Ovis aries: one gene and its partners. The protein of the gene in region 1 interacts with the protein of each later gene in a pairwise test. Links are inferred from orthologs where the notes say so. Each region holds a gene or a part of one and is shown in the gene's direction. Other genes may lie near its edges. The genes, in order: VASP, ABI2 and TRIM9.

Region 1 (3,508 bases):
CTCATGGAGGAGATGAACGCCATGCTGGCCCGGAGGTGAGCCCGAGCTCAGAGCTCTCAATGGTCTTGGAAAGCTCTCAAAACAAACCCCTCAACCCAGCAGTTATCACCTGGAGATTCCGGTTCAGTAGGACCAGGTGTGGGGAGGGCTCAGATTCCTGGTTAGTTTGTTTCGTTGGGTGAAAGTTCATCCTTTGACAGCCAGGTTTGAGATATAATGATGGGGACTGCATTCTCCTGAGATGACTGAGGTTTGCAACCCCCTAGGTAGCCTCTGGAATGTTCTGGAACCCAGAATTGTAGGACCTTAGATGACCCCACCTCAGAAGCTGGGGACTCTGCCCTGAGAATTTTGTGATTCCCAAATGTAGGAATCCTAAACGCCACCCCCACCCCCTCATTCGAGAACAGCACTCTCTTTGACTTCTAAAATTAAAATGTGCTTAGCCTTGATGAATTCCAGAAGTCGGCACCCTAGGACCCACTTTTCCAGAACTCTGGGGAAGGGAACTATTGAGTGGCTGAGAGGGGACAGAAGCCATCTGTTTCTGCCTTTCTCTCTCACAGAAGGAAAGCCACGCAAGTTGGAGAGAAACCCACCAAGGATGAATCTGCCAATGTGAGTTAGGGACCCTTCCTGCCTTATACACCTTAGGATGTACCATTAGAGTAGGAATATTGGGGCGGGGGCTGTGATAGGGATTGGCTGTGTTTGAAGGTGGAGGAAGAAAAGGAGCAGAATGGCCATGTCTGGCTCATGACAGTTTTATTTCCCACCAGCAGGAGGAGTCAGACGCCAGAGTCCCAGCCCACAGTGGTGAGTGAGTGAGAGCCCCCTCTAGTCACAGGAACTACAAGTCCCAGGATGCCCTCTTCTCATGTATAACACACCTTCATGGGAGAGTCTGTACAGATAATCCTGGGGATTGTAGTCTCCTGAGATGGTTCTTTGAATGGGGGTTGATGAGGCTCGGGAAGAAAGGCTGAGGCAGGGCATTCCTTGTTCCTGATCTTTTTGACTTATTGTCTGTCCCCCAGAATCTGTGCGGAGACCCTGGGAGAAGAACAGCACAACCTTGCCAAGGTGGGCCATCAGTACTGGGGCCCCACCCCTAGAAAGAGTCGGACTTGCCAAGTTTGTAGGGAGGAACACAGAGTGACCCCTGGAATGGGAGGCAGGGGAGGCAGACCCTCTCTCTAACCTTGTTTCTGCCCCACACCACGCCACCTCTCCCAGGATGAAGTCGTCGTCTTCAGTGGCCACTTCCGAGGCCCACCCACCTACGCCTAGCTCCAGTGATGAGTCAGACCTGGAGAGGGTGAAACAGGTAGGGGAGGGGACTGGGGGTGAGGGTTAGGGGATAGAAAGATCTGGGTCTAGACTCTGCCACTGACCTGCTATGTGATTCTAGAAAAGGCCTTGGAACCCTCAGCTTCCCAGTCTGAGTACTGGAGAAATTGGATCGTGTCAGGGATGACAGACCCCATAACCGCCTTGTACAACGCCCATGACAGACCTTGCTAACATCACTACACTCATTCCTGGTGAATATCCAGAATCCTTTTCCGCACACTGGCCGCAGACATTTATCGCCAACCGGAGTTGGCAGGAGACTGGAATGTCTCATTTGCCAGCCCTGGTACTGGATGTTCTCCATTGCTTTTCTCTCTGGTTCAGAGGATCCAGAATTCTCCTCTAGAAATCTCAGTCACTTTGTGGCCTGGCCAGTGATGTCATGGTGTGTGTGCGATACGGGTCTTGACCCTCCTTCCTCTGGCCCCTCAGTCATTAAGAAACTGGGGATTCACTTCTGCAAGTCCAGGTACTCTTCCTCATTGGTTGTACCCCCATCATTTTCAGGAGCTTCTGGAAGAGGTGAGGAAGGAATTGCAGAAAGTGAAAGAGGAAATAATTGAAGGTGAGGTGTTTTCCTTTTTAAGCATTTATTTATTTTGGAGGCATGGTGTCCCTTGGAACCTTGTTTTGGAAGGGAGAAGGGGAAGAGGCTCTGCCCCTGACCTCTGCCCACTGTTTCCTTCCAGCCTTTGTCCAGGAGCTGAGGAAGCGGGGTGCCCCCTGACCACAGGGCCCCAGAAAATCCAGTTTCTCCTTTCTGCATACCCCCTCCACCTGTCACCCTGCTTTCCCTGCCTCGACTTGGAATTGGCTGAAGTCTACACAGGAATGCATCGTCCCCACTCCCTATGTCACTTGGAAAATTCCAAGGGGTGTGGCTTCCCCAGCACCGTGCCCACACCCATATTGGCTGCTGATTGGCTGGGGAAGCCCCCACCCTTTGTTCCCTTTGATCCTTCCCCTCTGCCATCCCCTTGGGGCTGGTTCCTCTGCTGGGGATGTACCAAGTAACCCCACAGTAAGGGGGAAGGAAGGAGGGAATTTCACATTCCCTTGTAGATTCACTTTAACGCTTAATGCCTTTGAAGTTTTGTTTTTTAAGAAAAAAAAGTATATATATATATATATATTTAGGTTTGTTGTGGGGGGAGGAAAATTTTTTTTTCTCTTTGGTTTTGATAAAATGGGGTGTGGGAGTTTTTAAATGCTGTGTCCCTGGCTTGTCCCATTTGGGACAGCTGTGTAAGGAGGGTTGTCCCACCAGGCTGGGGGTGCCTCCCCCTACCCCAGGGACCTCCCTCCCTTCCCTCTGTCTCCTTCCCCTTTTCTATGAGGAATTAAGATGCTGTAACTTTTTGGAACCTCAGTTTTTTGGTTTTTTATTTGGGTAGGTTTTGGGGTCTAGGCCATTTTTACCCCCTGGGGATAAACAAGATAAGGGGGAAAGGAGTAGGGGAGGAACCTCCCCTCTTACCTTCACCTTTAGCTTCTTGGAAATGGGCCCCTGCGGAATAAATCTGCCAGTTTTTATAAATGCTAAGATTTCTGGTGTCATTTGAATGGCTGCTCTCATGAGGATGGGCATGTCCCTCCCTCCCTCAGTAATCCACCTTCCCTCACTTTCCTCCTTCCCACCGGAACCTGCTCCTCTGCCCCCTCTTGGCTTCCCGGTGCCCCTCAATGGGCAGCTTCCTTACTCCTTTCCACCCAGCCCTAGAGAAAGCCAAGGGCATCCCTCATTGACCGTTTGCCCTTGGGCCAGACCCTTTGGTTCTCCTGGACCTCAGTGTCTTTGTCTGGGAAAGGACTCGAAGGTTGACTCAGGCCTTCTCCCACCGGGAACCCTTCGAGCTTCTAATTTTAGTGAGCCTTGTACCAGTTGGCAGATGTACATCATGGTTCTCAAGACACTTTCTTAAGATGACTTTTTTCCCTCCAGAGCTCCTTTAATTATTACAATATTTACAGTCTTAAAAAGTAGCATTCAGGAATCAGAGGTCATACACACCCCCCTCTTCGGTGGTTCATTGGGTGGGCAGGGGTAGGTGAGGTAGCCTGGTGGAATTATTCCATTCTGTTGGAGGTAGGGAACTTCAGGGCTGAGGGGCAGACTTCACTGGCAGAAGACTTTGCATGAAGGTGGGGGGGTGGT
Region 2 (3,746 bases), on another chromosome or scaffold:
TGGGTTACACAGAAAAAACTCAAAACAATTTGCCAATGTGTATATCAAAAAGCCAATAAAACAATAGGAAAGCATTAAAGTGATTTGAGACAGTAATTTCCTCATTATCAGGGGAGAAAAAAAAAGGAGGGGCAAAATCACTAGGCGGGCCAAGAGATCACAAATACAAGACTTGAAATAATAGATCTTGCTCTAAACTGCAAAGGCAGTCAGCTTTGACTTTCCATGGTACAAATAAAGGTCATGGACTTTATAATATCTCAGCAGTTGTCAGAAATTTCAGTTTTTAAAAATTACATGTGTGGAGTAGTCAGATTTAGGGGAAAAAAAATATACAATACAGAATAGTAACTGCAAGACCAAAATGGTCTACCTTGAATTTTTGTGGCATTTAACGTTTTCCAAGGTGCTTTCATATAAACTTTTATCCATGTAATAGCCCTGTGAGGAAGGAAAGTACCAGCAAAATCGTTTTTTAAACTTTAAATCCTTAGTAGATGAGGAAAAAAGTTGATAGACTCAGGAAAGTGATAAAAACGATTGTCACTGAAGAGTAGCACAGAGCAAGTGGGAAAAGCTGAAGGCCAGAGGATGGGCAAAGGAGAAAAGAACCGAGGCTAACCTGGCAGGGGAAACTGTTGATTGGCAAACAGGTGCAAAGAAGCTGGAGGGCAGGAAATTTGGGATTAGGAAACTGAAATTTATTTATCCAAAGAGGATGAATACGGTCAAAGATGAGAAAAATTAAAAGTGGGGCGCAGTTAAAGCTGCATGGGAGTTCAGTGGGGCTAATATTATCCCTCAGGCCCACTACCATAAGGTTGGGCCCCAGGTTGAGGATAACGCCGAGGAAAGTCGCTGAAGAAGCGGGCGGGAAGACCGCAGAGCCGGGTGGGCGTTCACGCCGGACTAACAAAGGCCGCGGGGTGCACTGCCCCAGCCACGCATCCTGCGGGGGCCGAAGGGTTAACCGCGAGCTCAACTCCCGCGCGCATCCCGGCCCCCACTCCCGCGGTCGCTAGGAGACGCCGGATGTGGGGGAGGGGCGGGCGGCGCGACCAAGGGTGGGAACCTTTTTCGGGCTCCCGGGGGTGGAGGGAGAGGAGCGCGCGTGCGCGCGCCGGGCCGGCCGTCGCCGCGGTGACCGTCCTCCGAGTCCATCGGCTCGCGCCCCGCCCCCGTTCCCGCTGCCCCCTCCCCTGTCGCGCGCTCAGGGGGTGTTTCTCGCTCCTCCCGGGTTGCCGCCGCCGTCGCCTCGGCTCCTCCTCTCCTAGTCTTGGGTTTCCCTGGCGCTACTGCCGCCGCTGCCTCTGCGGTCTGTATGAGGAGGAGGATGTGAAGATGGCGGAGCTGCAGATGCTGCTGGAGGAGGAAATCCCGGGGGGCCGCCGGGCCCTCTTCGACAGTTACACGAATCTGGAACGGGTGGCCGATTACTGCGAGAACAACTACATCCAGGTGCGACGCATCTGCCGGCCTGGGCGTGTTGGGCCTCTGGCTGCTGAGCGGCGCGTGGGGGACCCCCGGCCCGGGGGCCGCGCCTGGGGGCGTAGGGCACACGGGGCCGAGGCCGCAGCAGGGACACAGTGCAGCTGAGCAGGGGTAGAAGCAGGGTGGGAGCGGGAGAATGGGTGAGAATTCTCCGGTTGGAGGAAATTGTAGCTTTCAAGCATTTTTCAAAAGCCGTGAATCAGTTCTCGGTGCGGGGTGTGTGTGCGTGTGTGTGTCCCCGCCTCCTCTCTTCCCTCGGCCGCCTCCGCAATCGGTGCCGGTCAATTTTCGCGATGGCGGAGGAGGCGGAGAGTGGCATTTTCTATTTGACAGAATCCTACTCCCCCATATGGCAAGGATTTGGGGTTTAATGGGTCGCCCCCAATCTCTGGAGGATTTTTGAGGCGCTATATTGCTGCAAAGTAAAATGCCGTAGCTTTATATTCATTTGAATGTATCAAAAGCTCAGCGTGGTTTTTTTGCCTTGTTTTTAGGTTCTAACTGAGGATACAGTATAAGAGCAGCTGTCCCCCTTGTTGGAAGTTAATGCCAGTTTTCTTCTCTATGGAGAATGAGAAGCTGCATGATAATGGTTTATTCCCTTCTGCCACCCGCCTCCAAGCCCGTTAGAAATAGCTAATTTGCCTGCAGGGAAATTTTTTGTGATTATCTTTCAGAGAGAAATGGGAAATAATTCTCACGGTTTAAATTTTCCGTGATGGTTGGTTTGGCATCGGGACTCAGTGATAGCACTGTATGTTTGTGTATGAAGGCGGGGGGTATTGGGTGAGATGAAATTGAGCCTCTTCTGGAAGAAGCAAGATTATGTGATTAAAAACAATTCTTTTTAAAAAATTATTTGAAAGGATAGTTTAAGATGCACAGTTTGCAAAGTCAGCATCTTTTGTTTTCTTTATAGCTTATTCTGAATCATAGGTTCTACCTCCATCTTTTCCCTTCCCATTTAAATTCTCTTGGGATATAGGTGGAAATGGAAGCAATGTGTTAAATTGTTCCTTCACTATGGCCTTTTTTCCTTCTCCCACCTCCATCTCTCCAGGCATCTTTCCTAACATCAGCTATATTGGGAAGCATTCTCAAGTCTTGGTGTGAACCAAAGAAAAAAAAGGTGTTAAAATTTATAGGTTCATAAATTTTGTAAGGATCATATGGTTAATCAAGGATAGTGTTGTAAGATATTACTTGATTGGACATATCCTGAGCACTATATTTTCTTGTATGGAATATTTGTACTGGAGAATGAATCAGACATAATCCAAGGCTTTTCCCTCCAAAGAGAAAGTTGAAAGTATGGCCAGCAGGAAAAGATAGAGTGTGTCTTGGGTCAAAGGCTCATATAGACAGTACAGATGTCCATATTCATGGGGTGCTTTGCTGATACTGAGTGTGGTAGGAGAGAGTAAAAGGTTGAGATGCTTAGTTTTCACTAAATATATTTGAAAGTGTAATATGGCCTGGCATTGTTAAGAGTTGATAGGTAGCTAGTGTCTACAGAATTTCATTGTATAGTTAGTGGGAAGGCTGATCTTTAGCAGATGAATTCCATTTTGAGCGTCAGTTTATATTCTTAATGGGCTGCAGGTGGGAAGAAGGACTGGAGGAAACTATGCTATCCTCACTCTGGAAATTCAGAGTCTCTAGGAGAGGCAAATTAAAAGGACTGAAGTAGTCGTTACAATTCCTTGTGCAACATATGGGAAAGAGTTACAGGTCTCAGAAGAGAAACAGGGTGGAAAGTGATTGGGTTGCAGTTATCACTGCTAATTTTTTTTAAAAAAGTTCTCTTTGTTTGGAAGATAATTTTTATTGTAATTTGAAGGTATAGTTCCTCTTAGGTTGCAGTTGTTACCTAAAGGTAAAAGTACCTGAGTTGATAAAGCTGAGAGAGTGAAGCGATCAACCATTGTCATCACTATATTCCTTGCGGTTCAAAGGAGAAGAATGTTGCTGCCATCATTTGTCTTAGCGGTGGGACTCAGAATTTAATGCGGTGTTTTAAAATTCAGAATATAAGTGCTGATTAATAGAAATGGATTTGGATTTTAAAATACCTTGTTTCTTCAATTTAGAACCTAAAATAGGTGCTATTAGGATCCAGTGGGTATATTATTGGCGTTCTCTCAACAGATGACAACTCGTACATGATTTGTTTGTAGTAAAGTTGATAAATAGAACATGGTGATAGTGGATTTGTGCTGACTCAGCTGCACATTTGGCTGGCTCTTCCTGTAACC
Region 3 (3,746 bases), on another chromosome or scaffold:
CAAAAGGCAGCCATGTGCTACTTGAAATAAGTTACTACCTCAGCATATCACCATGTCACTTAACTTAAAAGTGGATTTGGGGGTGTTTTTTTTTTTTTGGTCCTCCATCCTGGGTTTGATCCCTAGGTCGGGAAGATCCCCTGGAGAAGGAAATGGCAATCCACTCCGTACTATTGCTTGGAAAATCCCATGGACAGAGGAGCCTGGTAGGCTACAGTCCATGGGATAGCAAAGAGTCGGACACGACTGAGCGACTTCACACACACACATCATCATCAGATCAGCAGTTCTGCAAGCAAGGGACAGGACCAGTTATCTCCAGCGATGACTGGGGAGAGAGAGAAGAGTGCTTAATATTTAAGGACTGACACTAGAACTACCCTGTCCCGCCCCCATCCCCCCATCACCATCACCTTATGCACTTCACTAGAAGAAACAGGAAGAACCCACCATCCTGGAAGCTGTGGTAGACGCTATTTGGTGTCACACACTGAGACTCTGCAGTGACACAGTGATCCATTTACTGAACTGTGGGCACTCAGAAATAAGCAACCCAATCCTGCCTCAACTGAACCAGATTCTGCTGCTCTTGTGGAAGCTCGGCCAGGTGCTGACAGCATGGTGAGAGGATAGCTTTGAGGTAACCGGGACTGAAGTGGGGATATAGGGACACAGTCACATCACACCGTAAGAAGCCTCTGGGCCGAGTTTGTACTGACAGCGTGAAATGAAGGGGGCATAGATTTTAACTAGTATACTGAGCTTTACGTGAGTCCCTAGTTTAAGTCACACAGCAACTAGGAAATCGATAGTCAGTCCCCCTTTAGACAGCAGGAACTAGGACAGAAAGAAGACAAAGAAGAGTTGACTCCTGCCAGGGCTCAAGGCCTGTACCATCGGGTCCCCGGAAGCTGGAGCGCAGGGACCGGCTTTCGCGGGTTCCTGAGCTGGGGAGAAAGTCCCCGCTGCGGTACAGAAACCGAGGTCTGGGTGAGGCGCCAGCAGCGGAAGGAGAAGGGCCGTCTCCTCTGTGGTGCAGCACCCGCCGAGGGGAGGTCGGCGCGGAGACCATAGCTGCAAGCCAAACGCAAACGCGGGCGACAGGCATCAGCCCCTCTGCCAGCCCCCTCCCTGCGAGGAGGGGTTTCTCACGCTCCGTTCTCGGGAGACTGAGCCGGAGGTCGGAAGGAAGAGGGGCGAGGGATGAGTCATCCCGCCTAATTCCTCCTTCCCGGTCCCTTCGCCTCCGCTTGCCGGCCGCCTCCCGAGATCATGCAGCCGGGAATGAAAACTCCCCTCATCCTCAGAATCCTCCACCAAACCCCCTGTGACCGGCAGAGAAGAGGAGAAGGATGGGGCATATGGCCAATGAGAGCTTCGCTCTCTCGCTCTCCGTCCAATCGGCCGCTGTTTACAGGCTGGGGCGGGACTAAGGTGCGAGGAGGGGGCGTTCCCGGCTGGCTCTGGGCGCCGAGGTTCGGTGGCTCTTAGAGAGAGCGCCTCGCTGGGAGTCGGCGCCTAAGCGACGCGAGAAGGCGCCACTGCCAAAACCACCGCCGCCACTGCTGGCCAAGGTGCTGGACACGACAGGCCAGCCGGCCACCTCGTCAGCTCAGGCGCCCGTTGCAGCCGCAGCTGCTTCGCTCCCAGCCGGATCCCCATGGAAGAGATGGAAGAAGAGTTAAAATGCCCCGTGTGCGGCTCCTTCTATCGCGAGCCCATCATCTTACCCTGCTCTCACAATATATGTCAGGCGTGCGCCCGCAACATCCTGGTACAGACCCCGGAGTCAGAGTCCCCCCAGAGCCGACGGGCCTCGGGCTCCGGGGTCTCTGATTATGACTATCTGGATCTGGACAAGATGAGCCTGTACAGCGAGGCGGACAGCGGCTATGGCTCCTACGGGGGGTTCGCCAGCGCCCCTACTACACCGTGCCAGAAGTCCCCCAACGGCGTCCGTGTGTTCCCCCCGGCTATGCCGCCACCGGCCACCCATCTGTCACCGGCCTTGGCCTCTGTGCCCCGCAACTCCTGTATCACCTGCCCCCAGTGCCACCGCAGCCTCATCTTGGACGACCGGGGGCTCCGCGGCTTCCCCAAGAACCGCGTCCTGGAAGGGGTAATTGACCGCTACCAGCAGAGCAAAGCGGCTGCCCTTAAATGCCAGCTCTGCGAGAAGGCACCCAAGGAAGCCACCGTCATGTGTGAACAGTGCGATGTCTTCTACTGTGACCCGTGCCGCCTGCGCTGCCACCCGCCCCGGGGTCCTCTGGCCAAGCATCGCCTGGTACCCCCGGCACAGGGCCGCGTGAGCCGGCGGCTAAGCCCACGAAAGGTCTCCACCTGCACAGACCACGAGCTGGAGAACCACAGCATGTACTGCGTGCAGTGCAAAATGCCCGTGTGCTACCAGTGCTTGGAGGAGGGCAAACACTCCAGCCACGAAGTCAAGGCTCTAGGGGCCATGTGGAAACTGCACAAGGTAAGTCCTAAGAAAACCCACCCCTAACTCCCCGCACCTCCGATCCTCCGTTTTGCAGCAGATGACACTTCCCCCCCTCTTTTGCGCACAGTGCATCCCAACGGGAGCGCAATGCAGGTGCCTCCGATATCTGCTTCCCCCGTCTGGTGCATTGCAGGAAGCGCAGGGGGACCTTAAACGGCGCACAGGGGAGTTGAACCTCTCCAGAGAGTTGTTTCGGGGATGCGTAGAGCGGGTCTCCCCGGGCACGCTGCCTGCGAGCTAGGCGCAGGGCGCCCCCTCCCCGCCGCAGACGTGCAACTCTGGGCCGCCACCAGCGAGTAGGAAAGCGATGCGTTTACTGGGCCGACCCGCGGCTGTTCTCAGGGACGCTCCAGGGCAGAGCCGGTGTGGGGCTCCAGCCGTGATCCCCGGGGAGGAGGTGGGGGCGGTTGGGTGGCGCGGACCGCTGGGTGCGGAGCTGCTGAATAGGCTGGCGCCTGGAGTCGCGGCGGGGGCGGGAAACACGCTGCGAGCGGAATACTGATTAGTAGGCGCTGGCCCATCCCAGCGTCCGCGCTGGAAGGATGCGGATCCGGGTGCTTTGCGCTCAGGAGGTGTATGAGTGGGGAGTAGGGTGGAAGAAAGGAAAAAAAAAAAAAAAAATCCTGTAGTCGCCATGGCAACACGGCCGGAGGCTGAGGCCCTGACCCTCGCGGAGAGGACGTGGGCTGGAGGAGCAGGACCGGAGGTTTCTGCGCGGTCGCGGCCTGAAATCTAGGCAGGTGCATCTTCCAGTTTCTCAGGGTAACCCCTCCTATTGACCGCCTACACACCCGTTTGTCCAGAATTCAGCCGTTTTCCTTTATCAGTAATTGTCTGTGCAAACTTTGAGACACCTGTTACCAAATTTATCTTTCTGATGTCTTTTGATGGCACCGCCGCCAAAGCTAGCCTCAAGAACAGGGCCTTTAACAACTTGTTAGGTCATGCCTCTCCCCTGTTCAAAGGCCTTCCGTTCCCCCCACGTTTCTTAGACAGTCCTTAGGAAGGTCCACCAGGACCTCACATGACCTGTTTTCTTTGGCCTCACCGACCTTATTTCCTCCCACCCCCTCTGCTTGAGCCGGCTGTCCCTCTTGCTGTCCCTCCACAAACACCAGGCCCCCCTGACCCCAGGGCCTTTGCTTCTGATACTCCTTCAGCCCCAGACCAAATACCCTGTATCTTAATAGTTCATTCTTTTGCCTCTTTCAGATCATTACTCAGATGTCACCCTTGCAGT

Evidence for each region.
Region 2: the proteins of VASP (region 1) and ABI2 interact in binary tests that used the Homo sapiens proteins (3 or more experiments, as listed by UniProt). The link is inferred for Ovis aries from reciprocal best matches to the Homo sapiens genes VASP and ABI2.
Region 3: the proteins of VASP (region 1) and TRIM9 interact in binary tests that used the Homo sapiens proteins (3 or more experiments, as listed by UniProt). The two-hybrid records come from large-scale screens. The link is inferred for Ovis aries from reciprocal best matches to the Homo sapiens genes VASP and TRIM9.

Annotation. Positions count from the first base shown.
Region 1 is NC_056067.1:52,902,058-52,905,565, forward strand, and holds the end of VASP (vasodilator-stimulated phosphoprotein), read left to right. Parts: coding exon 1-35; intron 36-566; coding exon 567-618; intron 619-779; coding exon 780-816; intron 817-1,037; coding exon 1,038-1,083; intron 1,084-1,236; coding exon 1,237-1,327; intron 1,328-1,860; coding exon 1,861-1,918; intron 1,919-2,042; coding exon 2,043-2,080; 3' UTR 2,081-2,896; downstream 2,897-3,508. UniProt on the Homo sapiens protein: Ena/VASP proteins are actin-associated proteins involved in a range of processes dependent on cytoskeleton remodeling and cell polarity such as axon guidance, lamellipodial and filopodial dynamics, platelet activation and cell migration.
Region 2 is NC_056055.1:205,328,371-205,332,116, forward strand, and holds the start of ABI2 (abl interactor 2), read left to right. Parts: upstream 1-1,303; 5' UTR 1,304-1,341; coding exon 1,342-1,458; intron 1,459-3,746. UniProt on the Homo sapiens protein: Regulator of actin cytoskeleton dynamics underlying cell motility and adhesion. Functions as a component of the WAVE complex, which activates actin nucleating machinery Arp2/3 to drive lamellipodia formation.
Region 3 is NC_056060.1:42,182,417-42,186,162, reverse strand, and holds the start of TRIM9 (E3 ubiquitin-protein ligase TRIM9), read left to right. Parts: upstream 1-1,469; 5' UTR 1,470-1,660; coding exon 1,661-2,482; intron 2,483-3,746. UniProt on the Homo sapiens protein: E3 ubiquitin-protein ligase which ubiquitinates itself in cooperation with an E2 enzyme UBE2D2/UBC4 and serves as a targeting signal for proteasomal degradation.